2 linked regions of the Caenorhabditis elegans genome follow. The protein of the gene in region 1 purifies or fractionates together with the protein of each later gene. This does not show direct contact. Each region holds a gene or a part of one and is shown in the gene's direction. Other genes may lie near its edges. The genes, in order: cyd-1 and cdk-4.

What was found.
Region 2: the proteins of cyd-1 (region 1) and cdk-4 purify together in Caenorhabditis elegans (affinity purification with western blotting, with the first as the bait; one study listed by BioGRID). This does not show direct contact.

Annotation. Positions count from the first base shown.
Region 1 is NC_003280.10:12,977,495-12,993,784, forward strand, and holds cyd-1 (G1/S-specific cyclin-D), read left to right. Parts: upstream 1-10,728; coding exon 10,729-10,842; intron 10,843-11,136; coding exon 11,137-11,466; intron 11,467-11,578; coding exon 11,579-11,840; intron 11,841-11,971; exon of another isoform or gene 11,972-12,155; intron 12,156-14,496; coding exon 14,497-14,633; intron 14,634-14,685; coding exon 14,686-15,060; 3' UTR 15,061-15,623; downstream 15,624-16,290. Other genes in the region: ptr-18 (Patched-related protein 18), read left to right, coding at 127-399. UniProt on the Caenorhabditis elegans protein: In association with cdk-4, regulates the progression through the G1 phase of the cell cycle during postembryonic development. Regulates proliferation of the coelomocyte lineage and intestinal cells during late embryogenesis.
Region 2 is NC_003284.9:13,509,353-13,523,870, reverse strand, and holds cdk-4 (Cyclin-dependent kinase 4 homolog), read left to right. Parts: upstream 1-4,959; 5' UTR 4,960-4,966; coding exon 4,967-5,092; intron 5,093-6,519; coding exon 6,520-6,582; intron 6,583-6,642; coding exon 6,643-7,062; intron 7,063-7,294; coding exon 7,295-7,455; intron 7,456-7,561; coding exon 7,562-7,820; 3' UTR 7,821-8,015; downstream 8,016-14,518. Other genes in the region: pab-2 (Polyadenylate-binding protein), read left to right, coding at 1-197, 244-666; F18H3.1 (SPRY domain-containing protein 7), read right to left, coding at 2,471-2,587, 2,775-2,858, 3,081-3,235, 3,307-3,423, 4,070-4,208; col-185 (Nematode cuticle collagen N-terminal domain-containing protein), read left to right, coding at 12,802-12,969, 13,012-13,761; H06A10.1 (DM13 domain-containing protein), read right to left, coding at 13,892-14,114, 14,162-14,249, 14,402-14,518. UniProt on the Caenorhabditis elegans protein: Serine/threonine-protein kinase which, in association with cyclin D-like protein cyd-1, is required for the progression through the G1 phase of the cell cycle during postembryonic development by phosphorylating and inhibiting lin-35 and fzr-1.

The DNA of each region.
Region 1 (16,290 bases):
CGACAAAACGGTTTGCCGAACGGCAATTTCCGCCCACCTCAAGCTTCCTTGCAAAAACTGTAAACTACAAAATTCTAAAGGGATCCCAAAGTTCCAAACAACGAAAAAATCTCAAAAAATTTCCAGGTCTTCGTGAAAGTCGTCGTGTTGGTAATCTTCCTAGGAATGTTCCATGGTCTTGTCGTGCTCCCGATCGTCTTCTCAGCCCTCCCATTCACAAAAACATCAGGTCCGCAAAAGAAAAAGGTAGCTCCGTTGCAAATGCACGAAGCTGGTCCGATTCCAAAGAAGGAAGAGCCAAAAGTTATCAAAGTGAACGGAGAAGAAGATGAAGAAGACGAGAAAACAACAAAAGAGGAACCAGTTGAAAAATCCGTTCGGAGCGCTGAGCGGGCTTAACTTTTTTGTTTTCCGTAATTTTTTATTTATTTTTTAAATTTTTTTCCCCCAAACTCCCAGTTTTCAGAACTCTCCCGTTGAAATTCACGTTCCATACCGTTTTTTTTTGCCTGTTTTCCCCTCCCAAGTGCTCCAATCGATAGTTTTACGGGTTCTTCTGATCCACTTTCAAAAGCTAGATGTTTTGTTAGTGATTGATTCAAATGTGCTATATGTTTTTTTTTATTACTACGCCTAGAATTTTTTTGATATTGAGAATAAATTATTTTTTATAAATTAGGTTTGTGTCGGGGGTGTGCGGCAAATCTCAAAATTTGCCGAGAGCGGCGAATTCGGCAAATTTGTCGAGCTTAACAACCGGCAAAATTGGCAAATTTGGCCAATTTGCCGCACACCCCTGGTTTGCATGAATAGAAAAAATAAAAATAATCCCCTCTGACAATACTTTTAAAACGTAAAATATACAAAGGTTTGGCACCTACATATAATTGCTGTAGAACATGTGGCAGAGAGCCTACATGCCTGCATGCCTACATGCCTACATGCCTACATGCCTACAAGGCTACATGCCTTCATGCCTACATGCATACATGCCTAAATGCCTACATGCCTACATGCCTACATGCCTATATGCCTGCATGCCTGCATGCCTGCATGCCTACATGCCAACAGGCCTTTTTTTTGTGAAATTTAGAGAACATTAGCTTACTCCCCAATTTCCCACATCTTGCCAATGCTTCACGGGTCCTCAAGAAGGCTTAGCGCATATCGGCAAATCTCAAAGGACACCTGTTACATATTATAATGATATCCCACTTGCCTCAATCCATCGATCCATTACATCCCTTGTCTTGTAAACCTGTCTCGTTCTCCTTCTCCATATATTCTCAATTATTTCCCTTCTCCTCTCTTTTCTGATGACGCAACACAATGAGCTAGGAGAACCACACGACGAGGTTAACGAGGTGCGGTCCCCTTTTTGAGGGCACTGTTTTTATTACGGGCATACACACAGGGCTATGTATTGCGCTGTTTCGTAATTTTATTGACTGACAATTGTATTGACCCGGACACACCCTTTGAGATAAGGATCATTATGGAAATTTGGGATGTAAGCGTGCAAAATTGCAGATTTTCCAGGGTAATCCTACAGTAACCTCGTCAAGTATCTACAACAAGTACTGCACACAACTTGATAGGCAAACATTGTGCATTTAGTTTGAATTTTTAAATCCGCTCTGTTCTCAAAGCCTACCCCATGCCTACCTGCCTACAAACTTACCTATCGTCTATTTTTATTGTTTGGCTTCAGGCACGCGTGTAGGCACAGGGCAGGTGTAGGCAACCTTAAAGGTATTCAGTCGTATTGAGGCCTACGTAAAAGGTATTAGAACTTAGCTTAAATGTTTAATACTATGATAGTACACACAATTTTAGTAAACTACTGAAAGTAAAGCTTCCATTCAGGGGTGTGTGGCAAATTTGCCCAACTTGCCGAATTTGCCAAGCGCTGCAAATTTCAAAAGTGTAGACTTGTCGAATCGGCCGATCTCGGCAAATTTGCCGAATTCGCCGTACTCAGTATAAAAAAAGTCGATTTGCCGAAAAAATTACAAAATTTGCTGCACACCCCTGCTTCCATTGCATAAAGGCACATCTTCGTGCCTACCTTATGTCTTCCTGCTTAACGAGCTTACCTATTGCCAAGTTTATGTCTTTTGGTTCAGGCGAAGGTCCCCTTGTAGGTTTTCAGGCAGGCATATGTCACATCGAATGTATTCAGGCAGGTATAGGTTTCTTTGAAAATTTTCAGGCAGGCATAGGTTGACTTTGAGGTGTTCAGTTAGGCAAAGAACACCTCAAAGGTATTCAGGCAGGCATTGATTACTTTGAAAAATTTCAGGCAGGCACAGGTCACCTTGAAGGTACTCAGGCAGGTAGGTAGAGGCTGACATTTTTTACTTACAAATAAAACGCTTCAGTACCGACTGAACCATTACAAATCTCCTAGTCAGAAGTCTATTAAGACTTGAAATTTGTAAAATTACAGTAACCCTATAAGAACTTACCTAACCTCTGAAATTCTCTACCGTTCTCAACTTTCCAAAAACCCTCTCTTGCTACAGTAACCACTATCTTACGGTAGCACAGCTTGATCTACCCTACTGGAGCAGTTTTGAATATTAATTTTTTCTTTTCTATTGTCAACACCTAGGTGGCCACTGTTCCGCAATTTTATGGTCCATTATTGGGTAGGATCAAAGCGTAGTCATATTCCTACACACCTTTGAAGGTTTTATTATCCGATTGACAGTAAAGATAAGGAAATCATTTTGAAACGTTTTGCATAATGATCGTTTTTGCAACCTAACTTTGCAAATCAAGCTGGAATTCCTTTTTCCTTATCACCTGGAATATCAAATATCATTGTCTGGAACAATCAACTGATAAGAGCACTTGAAGCGTCAATAAACTAACTATGTTCGGCGTTCTTGTTCTTCTTATCACCTATTGATAAGGATAAAATAAATAAACAGAACACCTGTGAAGAGAATTCAATTAAAAAAATAACACAACGAGCCGCGTGTTCAGACTGATAAGGAGCCGGTGACTGGAACCAATTCACTTTGCGGGAAATAATGCGTGCTTTGAAGACAAGATAGTTGATAACAAAAGTGTCCCCTTTGGTAACAGGTTGTGCCAGTTTTCAATGCCACTGATAGGGACGGTATGAGGTGGTTTCTCCATACCTTTGCATTTTTACAAACATCGAAACATCGAAACGATCCGCTACCGTGAAATTTACATGGAGACACTTGATTGATGGATATTTCGGAGAATTGAGGTAAGAGGGTTTTTCACAATTTAGCATCTTGTTTATCTTGTAAATCTACGCTGAATTAGGTTGTCAGAGATTTCACTTCAAGTTGTCAGTGCGCATAGGTTACAAAATTTTATATATTTTATACCGTAATCTTCCTAGTTGAAGATCAAAACAACAAAAATCCATATATGTACCTGCAAATCAACCTACGCCTGCCTCGTGCCTACACGCGCACCTATGATTTTTTGACGGTTACCAAATATAAGCTTAAGCAGCTCTTTTTTTACAAAGTTTTCGTGACCAGACCTTCAATTTAAACTGGCAAGCTTTGATTAATTAATGTTTTTTTTAAAGTTTCAGTCATTTCCACATTTTCCAGCACACACATTTCCAATTTGAAACGAGTAAAATTGGCGGGAAACAGAGGAAGTCATACATTTTATACGGGATTTTTAGATTAAGATCATCGCAAAGTTTTCGGGGAAAAATCGGGAAAAAATCATCATAGCCTTGAGAAAATCAAATTGAAATGTGTGAAATTGCAAACATTTGGAAATTATAGAACAGAATAAACTAAAAAACTCGATAAAAGTTCCGATATTAAACTTATAAAGCTCTACTGAAAAAATCCCTCTTGTTTCAAACTCAATATATAGCAATAGTTTAACTATAGGCCTGCTCAGTAGGTACAAAAAAGCAGGCTCGCCACGTGCCTACACGCCTACCTCAAGCCCAAAGCCTACCTATAGCTTACCTAATTATTTTCTTAGTTTTGTATTTTCTTTTCAAATATTAATTGAACTGCATAAGCCTATTCTATTCCAGAAGCAAATATCTGAGTTCAATCCTAAATACAGAAAATAGGCGCGTAGGCCGGCAGGCAAAAAGTAGGTACGTAGGCATATAAATGAGCCTATCGACCTATAAAGATCTAGGAAAAGCTTCTAAAAAAATTCTCGAGTAAAGCCAGTTTCGAGAAATCTTGAAAATAAAACTGACCATTTTATTATGAGCAATTCAGCCTCTATTTATAAATTTTTACAGAATTTTGTTCTGAACACCAAAATCTGTTTAGAGGCGCACACTAGGTCTCACCACGAATCAAGTTAAAATTTCGAAAAACTATAATCCTGCAATCAAGGTGACGTAGCTTTTCTAAAATTTCAAAATGGGAAAAATTCCCACAAATTTACAAAATTCTCACATGTTTCCCAATAATTTCCCCAATACAAGCTGAATAGTACAGTTCTTTATCAACTAGTAGCATTAACCAAACTCTCACATATGATCACTGGCGCCGCCAATAACTCCGGACGGCGGAAATTCCGCGTAGTTACCCTTGCTGGCGCCTACAGACGTCTCTCAACTAATTACCATTGCAAAAGATAAACATGTTCATCATTTCCAGAGATAACCATCACCATCACTGTATGTGTATGTCCTCACACAGTCAACTCCTCACAGCAAAAAAGATTGGAATCTTGAAAATCGGTGAGTATCTAGTCTCGAGGTGTCAATCACCGGACACACTAATTGCCAAGGATTTCCCCATAGTTTTCTACACTTTTTTCTTTGTTTTCAAAAAACAATCCTCTATACATATTTGCACGCTATACAATTATGGTATGTTTATTGTGCCATTTTGGAGCCCAAAATGTCACAAGGGCGCCCAGCTTGACCTATCGGTTTGTAAACTGATAAGAATTGTGTTGAGATTGTGATTGAGAGAGTTGACCAATGCAATCTTACGATTGTTTGAGTGCGGAGGCAGGAGAAAAAATTTGTGGGAAAGTGGGGAAAGGTCGTGAGAATAAATAACTGTACATTTATTGAACAAAAAACTATTCAAATTTCTGAAAAACTGTCCATGATACCTTGATAACGTTGAAAAAAAAGAGCAGCCGACAAAAACCTGTTTTTGCAAAGTCTCATTTGTCTACGGCAACTCTCCCAATCATGCACCGTGATGGGAATACTGTAAGACTACGCGTGGTGCCAGGCTGCCCCATAACGGTTTGATCTACAAAAAATGCGCGAATTTTTTGCCCAAAAAAAAGTGACGTCAGAACGTTCTTAACCATGCAAAATCAGTTAAGAACTCTGCGTCTCTTCTCCCGCATTTTTTGTAGATCTACGTGTGGTTTAGTTGGTACCAGGATTTCCACAAGGGCCCGAGTTACGCCTCGGAGGGTGGAATTTCTAGTTGCTCCAACACGCTCCATCTCCAAATGCTTCCGTTCACCCCCACCCCCCCCCCCCCCACTATTTCCCTTATCACTAGTGATCCTTATCAATTTCCATTCAATCATAATTTCAAAGCCTCGATTATCATCATCAACCACCTCGTGGTCTCCTCGTATTCTCTTTGAACTCGGCGGTCGACCCCAGTGACGTGTTTTTTCAGTACCCCAGTCGGTACCGGCACAAGGTTGACACGAGAAAGTTTGCCCTTTTTGGAACAAAAAACTTCTCTGGCTTTTTTTCACTTTTTCTCACCTATTCTGACATCACTCATATAAAAGTTGAAAAAAACGACGAAGAACAGAGGAGAAGACGGCAAACATTACCGGTGATAACGTTCCCTTTTGTGCACTTTTTTAGCCGACTGACTGGTATGTATGAACTGGCTAAAAGTGCAGGCCTGATCTCATCGAGCTGTGGAATGGGATTTGAATTTGCCTGGCACGAACCAATTGAGCAGCTTATTGAGATGACATTGAGATGACAGGAGCACCATTTCCGATAAAGACCATAGTCCTGAATAGCTAAATAATTAAATATTTTGGAAATTAGATCAATTTTCAGGTAAATAGTTGATACCGTAACTTTAAGAATTCGATTTCAAAAACTTTGAATATTTTTCAAATTTCAAAGTTTCCGGACTATATTGAAAACTAATTGGGCAAAAATTCAGAAAGGTTAGAAACTTGAACATTTTAGAAGTATGAAAGCTGGGGTTCAGCGCAGGCACAAACATGCCTACCCGCCTGACTGCGGTCTAACCTATATTGGAGGATGCCTAGGCCTATTTTACCATTGATAATTTTTTTCAAAGGCCTACGGGCCTTGTAAGCCTTGTAGACACGTAGGTTTTTTTGAATTGAAAATTGAAAAACAATACACAACAAATTGAAAACTAGATCTTGAAATTTAAAGAAATACTGGTGAAAAGATCTCCTGGCTTTATTTTTAAAAAACAACGAATTAGGCAACATTTCTGAAAATTTGGAAACTTGAACACCTTAGAAAAATCAAACGCCTACCTGCAGGTCTAACTCATATTGGAGGAGACCTAGGCCTGGTTTACAATTGCAATTTTCGTAAGCCTACAGGCCACCTTCTAGGCAGGTAGGCTATTTTGAACTAACAAATGGAAATCTGTTAGTTGAAAGTTAATAGGGATTAAATTTTTGGAATACATTCTTCTTGAAATAAAATTATATAAGAGATTCTAGATTTCAATACAAACTCCAAAAGTAAACGCTTTCTGAAGTTTTTTTTTTTTAATTTCAGGCATCAGGCATCATTTCAGGCAAAATTGTGGCAAAATTTTTGATTTTAGCTGAAAATGAGCCCGCCATCACTTTTTTTGAGAAATTAACAAAACGTCTCATAACAAAATTCGGCAGTTTTGGCTCATTTTGGGTCTAAAAAGCAAAGTTTTAGATTTCGGTACTCCACCGCAAGGCGAGTGGCGCGACAACAAGATCCCCTCAAACAATTTCAAAAAAAAAAGTTTCAAAAAGTCTAGAGCATCATTATTTAAACCTGAATTTAATTCTACCTGGCACGACAAATCATCATCTCCGAGGGGCGCCGAAAACCGAACGACCTTCCATCATCATCACCTCCGTTCATCATTTCAGTCATACGCGTAGGTAAATGTGATTTTGTTTCTTCCAATTCAATCACGGAGGTCGAACAACACAAGAGGCCACACGCGATCCCCAGATTCGGGTGACAAATGTTGCGTAATTTACATGGAAAAAGTGCATGAGAGGGGGGGTCCGACCTCCCAATGCGCGAACGATTCTTTGTCTCTGAATTTTTTTCGGTTTTTTTTCTAAAAGGCATCGCTTCTTTTTTATCTAATTATTTGCCGTGTCGAAACACAATCACCACACAAAAAGGAAAAGCCATCTGTCAGCAGTTGGGGCACGATTCCCGCATAGTAGGAACGATGCGCACAGGCAGATAATATTAATGAGAGGAGGAGACGTTTGAATTCCCCTACAGAAGAATGACAGTTGGTTTGGCACATTGTTGAGTCCAAAAGTGGGTGCCATAATGAGCTCAAGAAGCCGAATAATGGAGAGACAGATGTTTTCGGAGAGATTTTAAAGGAGATCAAACAGTACTTTCCGGTCCAAAAATTGACTGGTAACAGTTGGCTTAAGAGCTTTTTGACCTGGCCGCAAATTTTATAGTTTTTAGTTTGGAAGTTTTGAAGTTTTGAAATTCAATAGAATTTGAAATTCGACTTTCTTACAGTTTGATTGAAAAAAAATGCGGGAATTTTATGTCCAAAAAATGTGACGATGCAAAATCTGTTGAGAATGCGTCTCAACTCTCTCATTTTTTTTCTAGATCTACGTAGATCAAACCGAAATGGGACACTCTGACACTAAATCCTTTGTTCTTTCAAGTTGAAAAAGTTTGATCTACTCAAAAATGAAGGACTCCGGTAGATCAAAAAGTGGTGGAAAAATTTTAGTGGAAATCGATATTTAATGTGTCTATTTTACTATTACATATTTTTCTAGCTATCTTTTCAATTTTTTGGTTTGCAACGGTTTGTTATGCGAGTTCAAATTTTTCCAAAAATTTTATTTTAGGCAGAAAAACAGTTTCTTGCCTTGCACTTGTACCTACGTCTTCTTTGATATGCCTGCCTTGTGCCTACGCCTTCTTTATGCCTATACTTGTTTTGGGTCGAAACTTACGTCTACCTTGCCTGTATATCTGGCAAAAATATGGGCCTACCTATCCATAAAACATTGATTTTTGCTAGAAGAATCCCATGCAAACCAAAATTATTTTGATATTCAAACTTCCCCGTTCACCTTTTTCATAATTACCGCAACCCAAATATCAGATAATAACTCTTAAATAATTATCCTATCACGCAATGCTCATAATTTCAACATGCCCCCAACTACGCAATAGTACACACACATATTGTAATATGGATATTGTTGCATACATATCTAGATATATATGTATATACTCAATTCACCTACGTCATCTTGAGCACCTGTTGCTCGACCTGCTGTCGGCTCGTGGGTGGCCTGTAGATCCGCCAAATCGTTTCTACCACCCTCCCGTTGTTTTCTATTTGTCCTACTGGAATTGACCTCTTCTTACGCAATGTGAGTTCTCCCGCTCTACGTCATCAGAGCACGCCAATTGCCCCATTCAACAACTACACACACCTATCTCAATCAGATCTTTCACACTCTCTTGTTCAAATATACGACTGGAAAGGTCACACTTTTCACTTGTCCATCATCAGATTAGTGTCGCATTAGAGGGGGAGATGGTGCGCGAAAACTGATAGCTGAGCCCTGCTATGATAGTCCCTTATTTGCCTGTGGGAATGTTAGGGGAGTCAAATGAAATATAAGAAGATGTTTGGAAGAAGAAGAAGAAGGTCAGCCAGATATGGGCAGCTGGCCGAACACCTGGTAGTACGTGTGGGATGGCGCATCCCAATCTCTTTTACTACCATAATTTTCTCAACTTTCACTTTTTCTACTTTTCTAAGATTACTTGAGTGTTAACCTTCCATATCCACCTCTCCCCGTTCCCTGCTCCGTCTGATTTGTTGCTTGTCCGGTACAATTTATGAGTTTGGGAACCCACCACTGTGTTCAATGGGTGGCTCCCAAAACAATAGGCCAAATGTCGTGTGTGTGGTTTAGTGTTTGGATGAACTTTTTAAAGGTGGTGGGGGAGAAATAAAGATACAAAAAAATATATATATATGCTGCCATGGGAGACAAATTTTTGAATTTGAAGGGTAGCGTAGATGTTTAGAAAATGTCAAAAATTTCAGTCCAAGACGAACTTCAAAATTATAGTAGGTCAAAAAATCACTTTTTGACTGTAAAAAAAATTACAAAAGACATTTTAGCCTTGACAATAAATAACATAATTTCTTATTATTTTTCCAGTAAAAGAGCCCCCGTAAGAAAAAATCCTATATATTAACATTAATAGGCGCTTTCAGGTGTAGCGTAGATGTTTAGAAAAGGCCCGAATTTCACATAGATTTTTGGACACTTTAAAGGAGATTTGGCCCTTAATATAGTTTTGGTAGTCTAAAACTACCTAATATATGATAAAACAGTCTGGATTTATTTTAAGATTTTTCAAAATTTTCAGTCTAAATTTTGGCAAAAAAAAACCAAATATATATGGACTTTTTCAGTAATTTCGAGCATTTCTACAAGTTTTCATCCCTATAATATATGAATACAAAAAATTAAAGCCTGTCAAAAAACTGTGAAAACCCACTTTTTAACTGTAAAAAAATTATAAAGGGTATTTTAACACTGACGATAACTAACGTCATTTCTAAATACTTTTCTAGTAAAAGAGCATCATAAGAAAAAATCCAAAATGCTCAAAGTATTTTAGGTGATTTTAGAGCATATCACAAAACTTGAAGTTTCTGCTGTATACTTGGAAAGGCTAGAAGATGCGTAATTTTCTCTGTTTTTCAAAATTTGATTTTTGTTGATTTTTGGAAAGTTAGAAGCCTATTTAGATAACTATCAAAATTTTATTGATTTTTAAATTTCAATTAGTTTTAACACTTTTTTTTTAAACATATTACCCAAAAATGTTAATCATTCTGAACGTTTTTATTTTTTTTTGCCTTATTGACACCCTTTACCTGTCTAGACAGGAAAAGCTGCTAGTACCCTCCGTGTCTCCCGTTAACCTTGGAACTTTGCCAAACCGGAAGAGTGTAGTGATTTTGACACCTTTCTTTGTCAAGGACGTAATTATCGATCCGCAGTTTGTTTTTTTTTCGTGGTCCATAACTGTGCACCAATCAATATTTTAACACCTTATGACCCCCGCCAACCTCTTCCCAATATTGCAATTTGCCGACTGCTGACCCAGTATCCCGCTGTCTTTGGGTCATCTGCCAGCTCGTCGTCGTTCAGTCAGCAACATCAGCGCAGAAGTATTTTTCTTCATTCTCAAAAATCCCAAAACCCCCCGTCTTCATCATCATCACCTTCATTCCTTCATGTGCCTGGGGGAGACGGCTGGCCCTGGGGGGAGGTGGGGGAGAGGGTGCGCAAAAACTGGGCGGAGTCCCTGGCAGTCACCCGCCTCCGGTCACTCGACTGTCATTGCGAGTCAAGGTGCCGTACCTTGACTTACTTTTTTTTCTTGCTTTCTCTCTCCACTTGACAATTTTCTCAAATTCACTAACTTTTTGAGATTTAATAATAAGCATTAATAATAAATTCCTGAAGTTCCATTTCCAGATGGACTTTGAGTCGTCGTCGGCTGGTCCGAGCACATCTTACGCAGAGGAGCCATGCACATTATCGATGCTTCCTCAAGTTTCAGCAGTTTTGTCGGAAACATCTATTACCGAGGTAACATTTTTTTTTCTGGTGTTTAAGTTGTGTGTGTGTCGCAGTAGGAGACTTGTCCTTCTCTATTTTTTTTTGGTAGATTTTTTTCGGCAAAATTTTGACACCTTTTTCGTCGCCCACTCTTTTTCTCTCCCTCACGCTTAATTTCTAATTTTCCTCCAAGTGAAAAAAGATAAGAATCTTCTTTTCGAAAATCTCGACCACTTCATCTATTCAACATGTATGTACATAATTATTGATTTTCAATTTTAAATTTTAAAGTACAATTTTAAAATACAATTTTCAATTTTCCAGTCAAATGTGAGCTGTCAATTACACCCATCTCGATCGGCTGCTCTGAACGATAATGTCCGAACACTGATTTATAACCGTACGGATCCTCATATTCAACTCGACATGCGAGCCTTCTATAACTGTATGGAGTACGAGGAGGCGCTACAGCCCAACTATCACTACTTCACCGGCGTTCAGGAGAACATCACGCCGTTTCATCGAGAGCAGGCGATCGATTGGATTTACGACGTGGCAAAGGAGGAGAATTGTGATGGCGACGTCTTCTTGTTGGCTGTTTCGCTGATCGATAGGTTTATGTCGGTGCAGAATATTTTGAAGCATGATATTCAGGTGAGTATATTGAGTATGTTTGGAATTTCACCTCTAGTGTTAGAAGTACATAAACTAATCCTCCTGCCTCTCCTCCCATCATATCAACATTTATGAAATCAGACCCGTTCAGATGATCGCCGGAGTCGCGCTGTTTATCGCCAGTAAACTGAAGGCCCCACATCCGATGACCGCGTCGAAGATCGCCTACTACTCGGATAACAGTTGCCCCATCGATATGATTCTTCAGTGGGAGCTGCTCATTGTGACGACACTTCAATGGGAGACCGAGTCGCCGACGGCGTTCTCCTTCTTCGACTTTCTCGCCTCAAGAATCCCACAGATTCACAACATGAGGGGCGACTTTCAGACAGTTGTGCAGAAGTGCCAAAAAAGTGAGTTTTCATTTCTTTCATTCCACCTAGTCCAGTAGTTTTTTTTTTGTTCCTTTCACTCCCCCCCCCCCCCCCTGGTGCCCTGGCGCGTGTCATTTTTCAATCGGAAGGGTGTTCTTTCTCCCGTCTAATCTCTATAAAATCGAAGTCGTTTTTTGGATGATGTTGTGTGTGTGTGCGTCGCGTGTCCCCCATTCTTTTGTACTTATTGCCGGCGGTGGGCCACCCATACAGGGTTCCCGGGGCGAAAAAAGGAAACAGAGACAAGTTTTTTTGATGGGTGGTCGTAGGACTGTGCGGTAGGGTCGGGCGAGCGACACCGTTGCATTTACATAATGTGGTGGAAGGGACAAGAAAAATGAGATTTACTAGGATATTTTTGGCCGGGATGAGGGGAGAAAAATAGCTTCTAGAAAAGAAGGAAGAAGCCTGTTTTTTTTGCACTTTCCATATTGATTCATCATTACCAGCCTAATTTAGCCTAATCCACCTCCACCTAAGCCAAATCAAACAAACAAGTTTCTTCTTTCCAGCACAGCAGGTGGGCTAGTGGGCCAGTCTTTGTCTAATGAGCTTAAGTCCTATCTCCCCAAGGGAAAGTGTCCTACCTATCGAAAAAAGTTCATCTTAGACCGAATTGAATTGAGGAAAATTTCGGAATTAGCCTATGCAAACAGTCCAAAAGTTGTTAGTTGTTAGTTTTTGCGTACGGCTCATTGGTCATTTGACACGCGCTGACCTAGGTTTTAGCGCCTTTGTTAAGGCTTCCCACCCCCCAACTACAGATATAAGATACCAAAAAGTAAGTGAGTCAGTACCAGGTACACAAAATTTTGTGCGTCCTCTTTGTTCTCAAGCCGTCCTCCTCTGTGGTGACACACTGAGACGCTAAAAAATGACTGTGTGTGTGCGCGTGTGTGTGTGTGGGGTAGTACAATTTTGCAATTACTCTTAAGAACATCTGGGTGAATATCTGAATTAGAAGAATATGGCTGTAAATAGTGACATGACAGCCCAGGTGGCCCGGGTTCAATTATAGATAGCTATCTCCCGGGCGGCATGGCTTGGGGGGTGAAATTAGTGGGCTCTTAGGGAAACCGTTTAACTGTTGCGGATCACTTGACACCCGAAACAATTAGAAGGCGACTCCCCTTAAACACATGTCGCTTTAATCCCGGCGGTTGAAGTGACTTCAAAGAATAGGCTCTACAGTAGGCAATACCTTTTTCAAAATGCCCTTGTACCTATTGCCCAATGTTTATTTGAACAAAACTTCCGATCGGCATCGCCTTTGGCAACTTGATAGCGTGATGGAATGCTCTGATCGATCATCTCGCAGTGTTTGCCCCCCCCCCCCCCCCCCCCATATCCTTCTGCCTTAATGGATGTTCAGTTATCCAAACGGATTAGGAAAGTTGTGTCCACCTGGCGCGTGCCTACCCGTTGATTTATACATTTGGAAGATTTGGGCTAGATTATGAAAGAATACCGTGTGTGTGTGTTTGTAGGTATGTATGTATGGGGGTGAAAAGGAGTGAAATCTGCGCTTCTTGATTTACGATGACGAGCCCCCGTGATGTTGTGCCTGTTGTTGCGCGGCCCTCACACACAAAGAAAAGTTATGTCGCAATCTGCTCTTCCAAGACACCACCGATGACAAGGGATGTATATCATCTACATTAATGTTATGACAGTATGGGAAGGGTCATCTCTCTGGGGCAACTGATGACATTTGAATTTGAAATTTGAATGGAGATCATCGTATAATAATGAATGTTTCATCAGCCAAGGCCTAATTGATTGACAGTGCCCCCGTAGTGGAATTTGAAAAGGAGCAGCTGAAGAAGGAGTCATCAATCGTTGGACATCCGTTTGACCGATATATAAATTCATTCGCGGTCGATTACTTTTTTATTGGGATTACGGAAGCGTGTGCCATCCTCATTGAGGAGGATGAGATGCTTCCCAGATTTTCAAATATCTTTACATCATCACCATCATCATCATCGTCTACCAGCTGTCATTTCGGGCGGTCTATTCAATTATGCAACATGACCGCGCGATCCTACACATACTGTCAACAGGTGCTCGAGGCTTAAAAGGAGCATAGCCTAATTGCGCATGTTTGAATGGGCTTCTGGTGATTTTTTTGACGCAAGGCATTGTGAAGAACGTGTGATGTCACAAGCGGTTTGGAGAGTCGGTTTTGAAAAAGGAGTGTGAAATTACATGAAAATAGCACGACGACCTTCCTCTACAGTAGGCAAAGTTTATGTTAGCACAAGATAAGCGTTTTACCTCTCTCTCTCTCTCGGCAGCCAGCCCGTTTCAATTTCAAAATTTTTGGCGCGTCAGACCCCTGGAAGATATGTATGAAGGTGTGAAAACGCGCACTTTGAGGCAGAGAGAGTTCCACTGATGTTTCAGACGCCCAGACACTTAGAGACTTGTTCGTAGATAATCATCTATGTCCTCCACAGCCACCCTCTTCGATTTTTCTTAATGATTGAAATCGAAACCTTGAGGCGCGAGCGAGCGAATGATTGGCAGAGGGAACAGTGATGAATGGGCCAAGGGGGGAGAAAAGATTGAACTTAAATTTTGGAATTTTGGAATTTTAATGATAAAATCAATAATATGAATATTGGTTTTTCAGTGCACAAACTTGCCACCTTATTCCCATCCATGCAATGTGCAATTGGCCTCTACTACGTATCGAATCTCCCAACACAGAATAAGGAGCTGGCAGTAAAGATCAAGGATCTCTTGGCAAACATGTTCCAGTTGGAAGTGGTTAGTGAAAAAAAAATCAGCACTTATAATTTCTTATCTAAACCTTTTCCAGAACCTTCTCGACTCGTACATCCCGATGGTGCAGCGTTGCATGAGCACAACGCCAATCTACACATCAGAAGATGCTGAGAAGACGGAACCGACACCATCCGCGCCGGCCTCCACTCAAGAGCCAGAGGCCTTCCAAGAGCTCAAGGAGCTCAAGGAAGAACCCCTCCCAACTCCACCACCAGAGGAACCTGCCTTCCAGAAGCTTGTGCTCCTCGAGCCGATCCCCCTCTCCGAGCAAACTCCATCAACTCCCCTCAACGACTCGGGCTTCTCGTCTGATGTCTCCAGCCCCGCATCCTCAGAGAAGAAGCGTCGTCGGAGCACAGACTGGTTTGAGGAGGACTCGACGCCGCCGAAGATCTTCAAGACTTTATGAACATTTGTTACCCATTATTTTATGCATTGTTTAGCTTCTATGTCGATTCGAAACCAAATCCCAAAAAATCTCAAAACACATCCAGTCTTCCATTTTCTATGTAGCTTTTGCATTATTTCCTAAACTTTAATTTTTAAACCGGTGTTCCCAACAAATCTTCCAGTTTATTATTCTTATTATTCTGAAAAAAATAATATATATATATATTAAAACATTTATTCTAAGTTATTTCCACCTCCCTCCCCCTCTCCGAGAGTTCGGATGTGCTCGAACCTTTTGTTGGATTTTCCTATGAAATTCCAACTGCTTCCTGGTTCTTGTCACATCCACGACTTCGTTTGTGATTAGTCAAATCCTGCCCAAGCCTCCTCCCAAAAATTAATCATTTCTATACTAGAATTCCCACTTGCTTCTTTCATCTTTTTTCCAGATCCCTCTTGCTCAATTCGCTTCCTACACCCAATTCTGATGACCATTGAAATTACTTGTATTGTACAAAAATTCTCGCTGTTTCGATGATTACTTTTTTCTATTTGTGAAATAATAAAGATTCCCCACAACCACCAAACATATATTTCACTATTTACCCGGAATCACCATATGACGTTGTTTGACCCTTCGAGGTTGTGACGTCACACAGACCCCCACTTCTAGAGTTGCGTCAAACTGCAAGCTCGTGAAGCGAGCACTTATTCAAATCTTGACCATAAGCGCAACATACATTATTAGCATCTGTTGATGACGTTGAGCTTGCGCTAGTAGAAGATCAGAGATATGTGAAGCAGGTGGACGGGCCCCTTTTTTTATAAAACAGTGCAAAAAAATTTGTTTCTTGTGACGAAATTGAATTTTTTCCAGCAAATCGGCAATTTCTGTAATAATAGACAAAAAGCAAAGTTATCTAAAATCTCCAAATTGTGCTTGAAAATCGGAAAACCGCTTAGTTTTCATCTGGAACTTGTCTAGAACTGGAGAAACACGTGGCGTCAGTGTGTCCCATGTCGGTTTGATCTACGTAATTGCGGGAATTTAGACGTAGACTTCTGAACTGGATTTGCATGGCTAAGAGCGTGATGACGTCACATTTTTCTGGGTTAAAAATTCCCGCATTTTTGTAGATCAAAACGTGATGGGACAGCCTGGAGAAAGTTTTTCTTACAAGCCAGAACACCTACAATTAAAAATTGCCAATCTGTTATAGATTTTCAAATTTTTCAAAAGTTGTAAAAA
Region 2 (14,518 bases), on another chromosome or scaffold:
CAGGACAACGCGTGTTCCAAAACCAGATGTTCATGCAATATCCATTCAATCAGCGCCAAGTTTACCCACAACAACAGGGACGTCCACCAATGCGAACCAACGATGGTCGTCCACAATATGGAATGGCTCCAAGACCAGCCGGAGCACCACGTGTCGGAGGACCTGGAGTGCAGATGGGAGGGGCACCTATTCGTCAAGTAAGCTTTAATCCAGATAAAATGAATACTACTCTCTATTTTTCAGCAAGGACCAGCCCCACGCGGAGCACCACAGAAGCCGTTCTACCAAGGACCACCACGCCAGCAACAACCACAACAGCACTCCCAGCAACCAGCACAACAGCCAGGACAACAAGGACAAGGACAATCCGGAATCGTTATTCACGGACAGGAGACTCTTACCTCCCATATGCTTGCTCAAGCTGCTCCACAAGAGCAAAAGCAACTTCTCGGAGAGCGTATCTATGCTCTTATCGAGAAGATGTTCCCGAACCACAAGGAGGCCGGCAAAATCACTGGAATGATGCTGGAGATTGACAACGCCGAGTTGATCATGATGCTCCAAGACGCTGAGTTGTTCAGAAGCAAGGTCGAGGAAGCCTTTGGAGTGCTCACCAATGCTCAGAGTGCTGCTGCTTCTACTTCTGCTCCAACTGCTAAAAACTAAGCTCTCTAACTTCATCTTGCATGCCAAGGTCGTAATATTCTCTGATATTCAGAGCAAAAATTGTTGGCTATACTTTTTGGTACTGAAAGCAGTATTCATTCTGCATTTCATAATTTCTCATCCAATTTTTTTACCTTCCCATTTCCTATTGTACTTTCTTCAAATAATCTTACAAAAAACCCCAAAAAAATTTAAAAATCTGGAGAAAAAATTAAAAAAAAAGGAAAAAAATTCAAAAAATTCAAAAAAATGCTTCTATTTTTCTTTATTTCAATTTCACATTTCTTGCTTGGTATTTAAAATTGTCTTGAACTGCGTTGAAGCTGATTTCTTTAACGAATGTGTATAGTTTCATCTGAAAATCCCTAAAAAAAAATATTTTTTCTTTTCTGGTCCTCTCTCTTGTCTCACTTCAATCCAATTCAACATTTATGTGTACTTTGTTACTTTCTCCAGAATTTCGGTGTTTTTTTTTTTTTCATCAAAAACTTGGAAACCTAGAGATTGCAACTAATTTTTAACATGGTAATTTGTTCGGCCTTGTAATGTACTCCGAAGCCCAAGCTCAGAACAAATCGTCTCACCCCCGCCAGCCAGCAATTTCATTGAAATTAGATGCTTCTTTCTGAATGCTTTGATATTTCTGTGCAACAATGTGCAACTTTGTCATTTCCCGCCTAATAATATGCTCTTTGTGTTAATAAGTATATTCCCACTTATATAAGTTATTGCAACTCTCACCCCTCCCCATCCTCCCATAAAACCTAAAATTTTTCTTTTGTACCCCAATTTGTACCCACATAACAATTGATACATCCATTCTGTGGTTTTTCCGATATCCCAACATCTTATCGTTTTCCCCAGAATTTTTCTAATTATCATTATAATAATTTTGTTGTAAACTTTTTGAATTAAATAATGATAAATGTATCTATAAAAGGAACTCATCTGTTCTATTTTCAAAATTACTTTCAAAATGCGGAGAAACACTCAATAATGGTGACCTGATATTTAATAACAACAGGATTACTTGAATATAACAAAACATAATGCGGCATCAAAAATCAATTTTCTTCAATTTGATCAATTTGCAAAAAATCTGAACAAGTTCTTACCTCTGAACTCTGAACTTTGAAAATGAATATCTGACTTAAAATGAACTTTTTGAAAATGTTTCTTCGGGGACTTGTTTCAAATTTTAAGCGCTTTCAGAATTTAATAACAAAATTTTTCCAGGTGCCAGAAGTTTTAGGTTCAATCCAGAAAACTGAATTTGAGCCATATAAATGACCGCATTTGTTTATTAGGAGATTTATTTAGTTTGTGTAACTTTGAAAATTAATATCTGACTTAAAATGAACTTTTTTGAAAATGTTTCTTCGGGGACTTGTTTCAAATTCTAAGCGCTTTCAGAATTTAATAACAAAATTTTTCCAGGTGCCAGAAGTTTTCAGTTCAATCAAAAAAACTGATTTTCAGGATCAATTTTAAAGTTATGAAATGTAAGTAAATATGAAAACAAATAATCGGTTATATTGCATCTAAAAAAGTGCGGTCAGCCACATGCCTAAAATTTCAGATTTTCTGTTTGAACTGAAAGTTTGTATTAAGTTAGTATTTTTTACTCTCCATCACGGAAATTGTAACTTACAATTTTGAAGTGTTAATTTCAATACTATTTGATAATAATAAGAACATATTTGTTTAGATTAAATTAAGGAGTTTCAATGAAATTCAAAATCATTATTGACAAGTCACAAGAGCGAAGGAAATCACGGTCAATGGTTTTAAAATCAGGCAAGATTTATAGAATAGTTTGTTCCACGAGAATTTCTCCGAATCCCGCTGGTGGAGCTTCCGTGAAGTTTTTGAATTTGAGATCGAGAATTGCTGAGTCGTCAACATACACCATAGGGTAAACCTGAAAATGATAACAATTTCAATAAAAAAATTGATTAGGAAAATTGTGGTTTGTGTCCAAATGGTTGCATTCCAAGCCAGGGATCATATTAAAAAGTTGAGCGCAACGAATGAATATTGAATCTTAATCTTATTAGGCACTGTTCCTAAGTGATTTCTTAATCCCTTCAAATAATCTCTTGGCATACCGGGCCTCGAACTCCAGTTATCACATCTTCCACTGCTTTTCCGTTTACATAGAACTTGAGCTCCACGTGGTCATATGCAACACCCTGAAAGGTTGAGTTTTTAACAGATTTACTTGGTAACAAATAGTTTAATACTTTTGTTTTTTTTTCTTTAAACTTCAAATTATATTTGAGTATTTGCAATCGTTACTTGAAATTGTATCACATTATTTGTATTCCATTGTAAGACATGTTAAGCTTTAAAAAAAACTAGCAATTTGTTTTGAAAGTACGAAATAATTCCATTTTTCTGCTTATAAAACGCACCACAACATCTCCTTCCTCCACAGTTTTTGTCATTTTTGCCACGACCTCATTTTCCTTTGCAATGTCTCCATTATCTCTGATTCCCCAAAACTTTTCAGTGCATGGGACTTTGTCGAATGGTGATTGCTTTTGTCCTAAGCCTATTCCCCATGTTCCTGAAAATAAGACATTTGTACTTTTTTAATTTCATTTGAGGAAACACTAGTTTTGAAAAACAAAAACTCACCGGTTTGTTGAACTGTCACTTGGAAATATGCTTTGTTTTGCACAATTGGAACAGTTGCAATCGCTCCTCCAATACCGCAAATTCGTTCTCCTTCTTTGAGAATAACTACATTTTTACCTATAAAAAGTTTAAAGTTCTTTTTTTTTTGCTTTTTTTTACTACATAGCGTATTTAGTAAAACATACTCATGTTAATGAAACTTTATCTGCTGGATTGTTAAAGGTGGAGTAGAGTCAAAAAATGTTTTGCTTTAAATGGCAGAAAATAGACCCTAGTGACCGAATATGACTGTGAAAAATATTAATAAAAACATTTTTCAATTTTTTATAAATTTTTTCAATTTTTCAAAAGTCAAAAAAAAACGCCAAAATTAAGTTTAAATTTCCGCGCAAATGAGAGACGTCATTTTTGATATTCTCACGTTTTCTGGCTGAATGCTAAAGTTTTTTTTCAAGTTTTTTCTCTGTATTTGGCTCTGTTTGTCAAATTTTCCAACATTTTTCCAAAAAAACCATATATAAAAGAATAATCAAGAAAAATCGACGAAAACGCGAAAATACCAAAAATGAAGTCATTCATTTCATTTTTGAGAAATTGAAAAAATTTTTAACACTTAGTTTTTTTTTTAAATATTTTCATTAGGGTCTATTTTCTGTCATTTAAACGAAAAAAAGTTGACTCTACTACACCTTTAAATATTTGTTTAAAGTGTGAAGATTTTGGAACGTGAACAAGCCAGCCAACTTTAAGTTCAAAACCATACCCATTCTCCCCACATCTAGTCGTACTGTTGGCTGGTAGACTGCGTTAAATCGTGGATACGAGGCATTGTCAAAACTGGAGCCTTCCACACAGTCGAAGCACGGTGCCAAACATGAAAACCAACCACGGATATTGTTCATCTGAAAATTTAGTGCTGGATGGTAAAATATTACACGCGTTTTCAATTAAAAAGAAACAAGGGGGAGTGAAGATGACAATTTTTTACTAATTACAAATATTTGTTATCTGTTGAAAAAAGAGTGTTATGTTTTCAGTTAATACCTAAATTGTTTGTCAAATTGAGTCATTTGTAATCTAGAATGAACAATTACAACTTTAAACTCATAAAAGAAAGTTGCGAAATTCGTATAAAGTATGAAAACATCAAGCAAAAACATGCATGTAGTTCGAGCTCATCACGTTTGTCAATAGAGCGCGTTTAACGCATTCTGTTTTAATGGTGGCAGCGGTGAGAAGAGTCGGAAGGCAAGAGAGCACGCGAGAAGAAGAGATGACAGAGAGCTGACTTGAGATAATGTGCGCTGGTTTATTCCCTTTGTGTCCGCGCTCAGGGGGACACCAGCTGTTGTAGAACCACCGAAGAATTGCCTACCGACAGTCACAGTCCATCTTCTTGCCAAGGTTGCCCTTTCTGTTTCTTTCTCTACCATCCTCCGCTAACCGAGTGCTCTTTACCGGCAGACAGTTTTCGCTGCAGAGGCAGAGGAGACACACCGCTCTACCGTCTGCCAGCAATCTCTTTCTCGTTCGCCCGCCAATAAAATCGGATTTTAAATTTGAATTACATAGATTCTTAACTCTTGCAACATTATTTTTTTTGCCTCCAATACCACGTTAGACACTTTTGAATGTTAATTAAAATTTTTTCAGATCCAAAATGTGCGAGAATCTTTATGGAGAGGAGTACAAAATGGAGATCCTTCGACTCCAAAAAATGATGAATAATATGACTTGCGGACAGATGGCAAAACCCTTGACAATGAAGGATTTTCAAATTCATCAGGTATGATTGGAAAAGATTACAGTTAGAGGACCAAAGAAAACTGGGTCAAGGAAAGTGTGCGGTTTTTGAATATTCAAGGTTGTTGAAAGCGCTTTCTTCGGAAACTTACGCAAGTGCAGTCGCAAAAGTGCAAGAGGATTAGATGAAGATTTTTTTAACTTTCGAAATTTGAAGATAATTCCCAAAGTTTTCACAAGAATAGAAAGTTCGTTGTTTTTTCGATGATAGTGTGAGAAACCTTTTGAAAACCGTTCAGTTTTGAAATGAACAAGTTTTCTAAGTATGTGACTAATTACTCACTTTTTGCAATCCAAACAAACTAATCAAAGTATTAAAATTTGCGTAATAAGAAATTATTTTTGAAAGATAACTATGGTGTGCTCAAAACGTGCTCAAGAAAAATATTTGAAAGTTCCCTGTCTAATTTTTTTTCCTGAAACAAACTTTTGTCTCTACCAAAGATTTTTCGATTCCCTAAAGACGTACACATGTATAAGCTTTTATCAGTGTCGGCATGTAAAAGAGAAACAAATGGCAACATTTCTGCTGAGTTTGCGTGAAAGTCAGTCAACGCCAATGACGAATAAAAAGAATAGAGGGAAGGCGGCAATGAGATTGTTTGCTGCGAAACATTTTTTTTTTGCTTCAAAATAGTTTATTTTGGTTTCAGATTTCTATGGATAAATAAAAAATGAGGTCATAAGTTTCGTATTTCAAATTTGAATCAAAAGATCTAGAGCAAAACAAAAGCCCGCAACATGTGAGAATTTTGAATATTTGAATACATTAGGGAAGGAGTCTGCAGTGAAAAATGAACGTGGCTCTGAATTTTTATAAGGATTAATTTGAGTGATTTGATAGCTATTATTGTTTCTGAATGTAAAATATATCCAAAGTTTGATCCAACTCGATCCAAAATATATTACCCAATTTTTATAGTCGAAACTAATAATTGTTAGGCAAAATTTTGGCAAGAAATTGTCTTCGAATAGAAATTTGCCCTTATTTTTAGTAAAACTGAATAATGACAATCCGACATATACTTGCTATTAGAAAAAAAAGTTTAGAACTGCCATCAGATTTGAAAACTTTTCTGCGAGTTCTGGCAAATTGCCAACATTTAAAAAAAGTGAGCTTTTGAGGAAATCCAAAACAATGCCGCATATTCCGACCCCTACAATGTTTTAATACAAATAATTAAAACAAAATTAAAGAATAAAAAGTGTAGGAGAACAATTTTTTCCGTCGACTTCCAAAATAATCAGCGGCAAAAACCGAGTAATTTTCACTTTTGGACAGTAATTAAAAAATTTTCAAAAAAAATTTTGAAAAGTTTTATCATCAAATTCGGCAATAATGGGACCATAGCAGTGGTGTTTAGCATTTTCCCCACTGGCGCTACTCCATCTTTAACATTTTTATTTCAGGCTCTTGGAAAAGGCGCCTATGGAAATGTGTACCGTGTTCGAAGCCTTCATGATGGAAAAGACGTATGTTTTTGTTTTTACATTATTGCATCTCAATTGAATTATTACATTCGAATTTTTCAGTATGCACTCAAGCAAATCATGATTTCTTCGAAAAACGAGGGAATCCCGCAAAGTGTGCTTCGCGAAATAACAGTGATGAAGCATCTGGCACGAAAAGCTCATCCGAACATCATCTCCTTAAAGTCTGTTTTTCATCAACTTGACCCCGTGAGAGCAATTCTCAAGATAAATATGATAATGGAAAGGTGTGATTGGGATTTGCACACGTTCCTGCGCAATATTCCACGCGGAGTTCCGGAGCAACAAGCAAAACATGTCACTGCACAAATTGTTCGAGCACTGGATTTTCTTCACACACACAGTATCATTCATCGGGATTTGAAGCCTCAGAATATTCTACTCAACAGAGATCAAACCGTGAAATTGGCTGATTTTGGATTGTCAAAAGAGTACTCAAATACAACGGCTTTCACAACATTAGTAAGTTTTTACGCTTAAAACTTGATTTCGAGAAAGCATGTCTATACACTAACTTATTTTTCATACAAATGTCTTTAAAAAAAAGATTTTAAAAAAATTATTGTATGTATAAAGTCGGTTTGTATTCGGTTTTCAAATTAAAATTATAGAACAAACAGTACATTTTTTAAGAGTTTTACCTTTTCTTTTTAAATTTTTAAAAATTAGTTATTTACAAATACGATTGTTTTAGGTTGTCACTCTTTGGTATCGATCACCGGAAGTTCTTCTTCAATCCTACTACAACAGTACAGTTGACATGTGGGCTCTCGGGTGCATTGTATCGGAAATTTACTGCCGACAGCCACTTTTTGTAGGCCAAAACGAGGCTGAGCAGTTGACAGACATTTTCAAGTAAGTTTTACAAGAAAATCTAAAATTTAGTATGTATGTTTAAAAAACCCGTAAGATTGCCTAATTACAGAAAAACTGCAATATTGAACTTATATTAATTGTTCAGGAAAATGGGCACCCCAGTTGGCAAGGATTGGCCGAGTGAATCTGTCATCGCCCGAGACTCATTCCCACAATATCGCCCGACCAACCTCAAGGATCTGAGCCCGCAGATGTCAAAACAGGCAATCGAGTTTGTGCAACAGTGCCTGAGATATGATCATTCGAAGCGACTTTCTGCTCGTGGAGCATTGAGCCATCCGTTCTTGAAGCCTGCGGTGGCAACAAAATCTCGTGTTCTCAAGCAAATCAACTTCAACAAGTGAAACCAGATATTCATTTTTTTTTGTATTTTTCCATTTTGACTTATTCATTTTTTTTTTCAATGTTATGACACTTTCTCCACGTGTATATATCTTTGTGTGCTGCTGCGCTGTTTTATTTTTAGTGTGATCTCTTAAATGTTGTGAATTCCTGACAATGATTCTTTCATATTTTTTTAAAATAAAGTTTTTTAGATACTATATTTTCAAAAAGTAGGAGCCTTGAAAACAATAGAAAAAGAATGAGGTAGTCGGACAGAAATGAAAATCTAAAATAAATTTAAGAAGAAAATCACTAGAAGTTTTTATGTAGAGCATTTTATCAAAATGATGGGCAGCAGATTGTTGACATATCCTTTTCAGTCGTTCCTACTCCGCAAATAGTGATTAAATCCTGATCTGAAAGAGTTATTGGCATTTTTCAAAAAATTTCCAACAGCTCTTATTGATAGATACAATAACAGCGTTTTGAGGAATTGTTCCATATAGATGAACAATTTCAAATTTAATTATGAAATATTAAACTTTTAGAAATAAATTATATGGTCAATTAAATTTGTACACACATGGACTAACAATAACTTACCTTTCAACTTTAAGCAATTTTCAGTGGATGTGCAAAATTTTTGAACTATCCTCACAAGGTTTTTTCCACAATAACGCTTCAAGGGCTCACCAGTTGCAAAGATCAAAACAATGCAAAGAAGCATTAAAATTGCGAACTTCATCTGAAATTATTGTTTTGAACTTGTTTTTAATTTCGTAGTGATATCAACAGCTTTTTATTTTTTGAAACCGTATTCGAATCATCATAAATGTAAAATAGTCAGTATAAACTTGAAAAGTTCTATTATAAAATGTTAGCCAAATTCTAATCTCAATTCGTGTACCTGGAAATAAATTTTTAAATTGATAATACCATTGTTTAAAACCAAATCTCACCTCAATTTTCTGTAGTCGTAGCTACAAGTCGTCAACAAATCCGCAATTTAACTGGGAGAGTTTAACCCGATTTCTCCTAGACATGTGTTCCAGTGGGCGTGTCTTGCAAAATGTTGCAAAGTTTGAAGGTTCCACCTCTGACCCCAATACAAAAACGAAGAGTGGCAATTGGATGTTCATTGAACTGTTAATAGAAATGTGACAGTTTGAGAATTCTGGGTAAAGGTGCACCTGAAATTACGTTCAAAGTTTTAAAATTTATTTTTTTTTTAACTGTTTTATTTAAGTGAATAAGGTACAACCAACAAGCTAGGAACGTAGAGTGTACAGTAATTGTACAGTAATATTTTGTTGGTGTCATGGTTAGTCAAATTTCCATTTTGCAATTGTTTTTCAAATGTTAAGTACAACACGTTTTTCAATAATACATGTATTCTGAGTTCTGGCGAGTCTGTGAATCAATACTTTACACGTCGTTTAAGAGGAACCTACTAGAAGGGATAATTATATAATTTCGCTTATTGTATTTCGGCAAGATTTCAATATCCCTGCGCGATAAAGGTATCTACAAACTTTTAAAAAATAATAAATTTGGGGCAATCTTTTAGTATTTTTCAGAACTTTTCAAAGTTATTTGTTCCCTTTGTTCTATAGCGTATATTTTTTTACTGTTTTTTTTGTCGACTTTGTATTCCGGTTTTCTTTCACCGACAAGTGCTGCTTTTTTTTCTGGAACACTTACACTTGGCCTCTGAGCACAAGGTTCAAAATGATTGGCGTGGGCTCTACGCGAGTTGACATACGACACAGTTGTATCGCTTTTTCTTCAGAGAAATTGCAAAAAAGTGTTGAGGGCTGTCGTGTAAAGCAAAAAAGTTTAACAGATCTGTAAAAAATGTTTTGAACATAAAACAATCAAAAGAGATTGCACGATAAAATTTATTTTCAAAAAGCAAAGGAATGAATTGAAAAAAAAATTCTGGTGTTTGCGTCGTATGTGTTAGTTTTCACAAGTTGTGCATACTGAAATACTCTGAAACACTATGAATCAGCGGTTTTTGGAATTCGGAGCGGCTTCCATGTTTTCATGATCTTCTACAACGTCATTCCATTCCAGAATCGTCACATCGACGAGATTTTTTAAACATGTTCAGAATATTGGCCAGTCCAATTAGGAATTTTATCGTGCTCGATAGCTCAAATAATGTTAAACAATGAATAAAATTAGTGAATCTTCAATGATTTATTGATTGCCGTGGTGTCTGCTGGCTCCATTTTTCAAAATGTATGAGACCAATTCTATTGAGAAACAAGGAATCACTAAATTGCGACGGTGAAACAAAACGCAAAAAAGGAACAGAAAAAAAAACACTACTACGTAGGTATTATTAGGTAGGTATTGTACTTAGGTGGGTAGGCATTGTTTTGATTTAGGGTGCCCAGAAAGAGAAGAAAAGATTTGGTTGGCGCCAGCGGGAGAGTATTGTGTTTGGATCAATCAATTATAAGGTCAATAGTTTTTGAAGAACTGTAGGGTTGTGGTGTATTACTTTAATGCCGTCAGCAAAGCAAGCAACATTTACGATGGGATCTAAATCAATCAATAAATCATTTATAAACATTATAAAAAGGGGCGGCACTGAACATTATAAATAAAAAGAAGGGGACGTTAAAAGTAAATTTATTGATTTGGATAGAGAAAGTTCTGCTGTTGTTAAATTCTTCAAACCATGAACAGGTGAGGTTATCAAGACTAAAACTATTTAGTTTATTAAGGAGGATACCATGAGAAAGTTTATCAAAAGCCTTAGCAAAGTCGAAAGTTAACAGAACGGGAGGAGGACGAGTTTCTAAAATGAAGAAACACATGCTAATAATGGGAAGAGAGATAATGCGGGAAATATGTGGTATGTGCGGATTTGAGAACAGATGACTTGTTCAATAATGCGAGCAAAGGGAACAGTTAAAGATATGGTCTGTAGCCTTCTTGAGGATAGGGATAATGACGTAATGTTTCCAACGAGCGGGAATTTTTTCTTGTTAGTTACAGAGACTGTGCCGTGGAATAATTTACAATTTTTCCAACAATGAGCCAGAAGTTATTATCACTGATTTCGAAATGAGCAACACCGTCATGTACTCGAATTATCTTGAAACAGGAGACCAACCTAAAATTAACTAATCGTATCAAAATAAAACAATTGAATTAAACTAACGCTGGTGTTGATTGTGTCCCTTCGATTACGATAGACTTCTCTAGACTTGTTTTTATTTGCACTGCATTGAAATGTACTAAACGAAAGCTCCTTTCCTGCCATTTCTTGAGTAGGTAGTTCAATTGTCGACTAGTGATATTGATACCTTTCAGGTCAACGGACATGAAATTAAGCAAAAAATCCATAATTTGTTAATTTTATAATTGCATAATTTTATATCGTGTGGTATTGTCACATCAACTCGCAACTGATTCGTCTTAATTTTCAAAAAACTTCGAAAAAGTTTCTTAGGCATTAGTCTTCCGATGAAGTTCACACACACAACACATATTTTCTTACGAAGTAGAATTGAAACAATTCTTTGAACCTGTAGTTCTTTAAAAGAATTACTTATATAAAGTTTAGCATAGACTTCTAAATGCTCGTCAAGACTACAGATTATTTCCAAAACTCGGAAAATATCCTTTCCTTTGTATAGTTTTACGCTGCAATTTTTGCCAAGAATTTCAAAGTGATCCTGACTTGCAATTACATCAATATAAAAAATTTCTGGAAACCAACATTGCCGTTGTTCTATGTATCTTATAGCTTGTTTCACAAAGGAGTTTGTTTTTCTGGGTGACACACGAAGCATGCACCTCCACTCTCTAGTAGTATTGCATCTAAATAGGTATCCGAAAATTAGTATTGCATGCCTTACTAATAGAGGAAATACGGTAACCAAATTAAAGAGAGCGAAGGTGAAACGAGACGCAAACCTTAACAACCCAAAAACACAGTGAAAGAAATGTAAAGGGAGAAACAGAGACATCAAGGGAAGAGTTATATATAACGGAGAGATGTCAGGGAAACATGGCCGAATGGTCTAGTGGTATGATTCTCGCTTTGGGTGCGAGAGGTCCCGGGTTCAATCCCCGGTTCGGCCCATCCTTTTTCAAGTTTTTGACCGGAAAGTATTTGATGATAGTTTTCGCTGCGAACAGATAACATGCAGCATAAATAAAATTATGTTCTCAAACTTATAAAGTTAAATTCATTTATATTGACAAGTATTTACAGTATCACACGTTACTTTATTGGTGCCAAAAAATCAAATATTGTTGTAAATATTTTAAACGAAAACTGAAAATCGGCCAAATATATATAGTTAGTTTTTAAAAATATTATATTCAAATTGTACAATATGTGAACTATCGATCTGTAGCCCTAATTGTTTTACTGAATGAGTTTTTGTGTGCTATTTCTCGAAGGTTTATTAATAAATAACTTAAAAGTATTCTCAATTAAGACGTGTTTTCGTGCAGATTTTAGTTCAACATTCACGAATCCTGAAAATTATGTTTCTGTAGACCTATATGCAAAAGTTATTTCTGACCAACATGCCTAAAAAGTATGTGTATGTTTTCAGTTGATTATTATGTTTTGCCCTGTTCATGTTTTCATAATTGGAAAAATATTTATAGAAACTTTGATAATAAAATCTAATTTCAAAACTTTCATTCATTTCACTAAATTGCACGGAGATATCAGCAAAAATTTTCAAGCCTTGTTCCACATTCATGTTCTGTGATATATTTCCAGATACAATCGTTTCTCTCTTTGTTGGAATCCCATTCCAGAACCATTTCATTTTACAAACACCTAGAACGTCATAAAAGTTGTTTGTTTTTTGCCAAACTATGATATCTCGCAGTCAATCGTTTACTATCTTGATCCAACTACCAGTTCTATACTAGAACAATTTCAATAGTAGAAGCAGTATAAATATGCCCATGGTTTACACGAAGCTCATTCCAGTGGTGTGCTTTGGCATTCTAGAGTTCAAAATGGAGTCTCCAACCGATCTTCGTCTTAAAGCGTACCGTCTAATTGCATACTCGGCTGTCGGATTCTCTGTTACTGCCGCTGTTGCATTGTGTCTGACTTTGCCACTTATTTTCACTTATGTTGAGAATACCAAGGCTCAACTTCATCGCGAGTCTTTGTATTGCAAGGTATAATTCAAAATACTAGTGTTGATTATAAATGAACTTCAGAACTCGGTGCAAGATATGTGGTCTGAAATCAATAGCGACGTGTCAGTGAACAGAACTGCAAGACAGGCTGGATACTCGTCGGGAGGTCCTGATGCTGGAGCAGGAGCCGGAGCTGCAGATGCAGCTGCTGGCGGTGGATGCACTGGATGCTGTAATCCAGGACCACCAGGACCAGGAGGATCTCCAGGAAAGCCAGGAAAGCCAGGAAAGCCAGGAGCACCAGGAGCTCCGGGAGCCGCTGGAAAGGGGGCATCTGCACCATGCGAAGCAAAAACTCCACCACCATGTCAGCCATGCCCAGCAGGACCACCAGGACCACCAGGACCAGATGGACCAGCTGGACCAGCAGGACCAGACGGAGAAGCAGGATCACCAGCCGCACCATCGCCACCAGGACCACCAGGACCACCAGGACCAGCAGGACCCGCAGGAAACGACGGAGCCGCCGGAACTCCAGGACCAGATGGACCAGCTGGAGAGAGCACTTATCCAGAGCCAGCAGGACCAGGACCAGCTGGACCACCAGGACCAGCAGGACCACCGGGACCAGATGGAGCCAGTCCAACCGCTGCCCCAGGAGCTGCCGGACCACCAGGACCACCAGGACCAGCTGGAGCTCCAGGACCAGACGGAAACCCAGGAACTGCAGGACCACCAGGAAAAGCTGGAGGTGAAGGAGAAAAGGGAATCTGCCCCAAGTACTGCGCCATCGACGGAGGAATTTTCTTCGAGGATGGAACACGGCGTTAATTCCATTTATTATTATTACCATTACTTTGCAATTGACTTCATTTGTCTTGCCAATAAATTTAGAGCATTTTCAAAACACATTTACAATTTAAAACATATCAAGTTACATAAAGAAACATTAAAGATACATTTAGCAGTTTTGGGATATTACATGTGGTTCTGAAATGCTAATATCCGGAATATAAGGTGGAACCTGTTCTTCATTCTCAACAAGTCCCATATCCAAGTGGCCAAAGTCGTGTGAATACTTGTAGCAAAATACACTAATCCATTCAATGTCGTAAATTGTTTGGCTCTGGTCTAAGCGTATAATTATATCCTGATCGGTAATATCTTTCAGCATAGGGCAATAACTGGAAAAATTAACAGGACATGTTTCAATAAAAAAGTGGAAAATTACTTGAGGGTTTGATCACTTCGCAGAATAGCAGCTTTCTTCCCAGATTTTTGATCAATTTCTGATCCGGCTCCGGCAAAGAAGTATCCGTCTGAAAACTGAAGCTGCAGTACACAGTTTACTGTTAAACATTATTCAAGATTTGACAAAGATTGCATCCATTGTATCATGAGATTATTAAGATAAAAGGTTTTTTTAAAAAGAAATACAATGCTCCATAGCTTCACGTGTAAAAAGCAGTACCTGGTGTTTGCGATGCTTTATATGAAAACTTTGGAATTTTTAGTGTCCTGGAGTCGATCACTTCTATGGGGTCCGAAATAATTCCGTACTCTCCGAACAACCCCATATCCGCTTCAC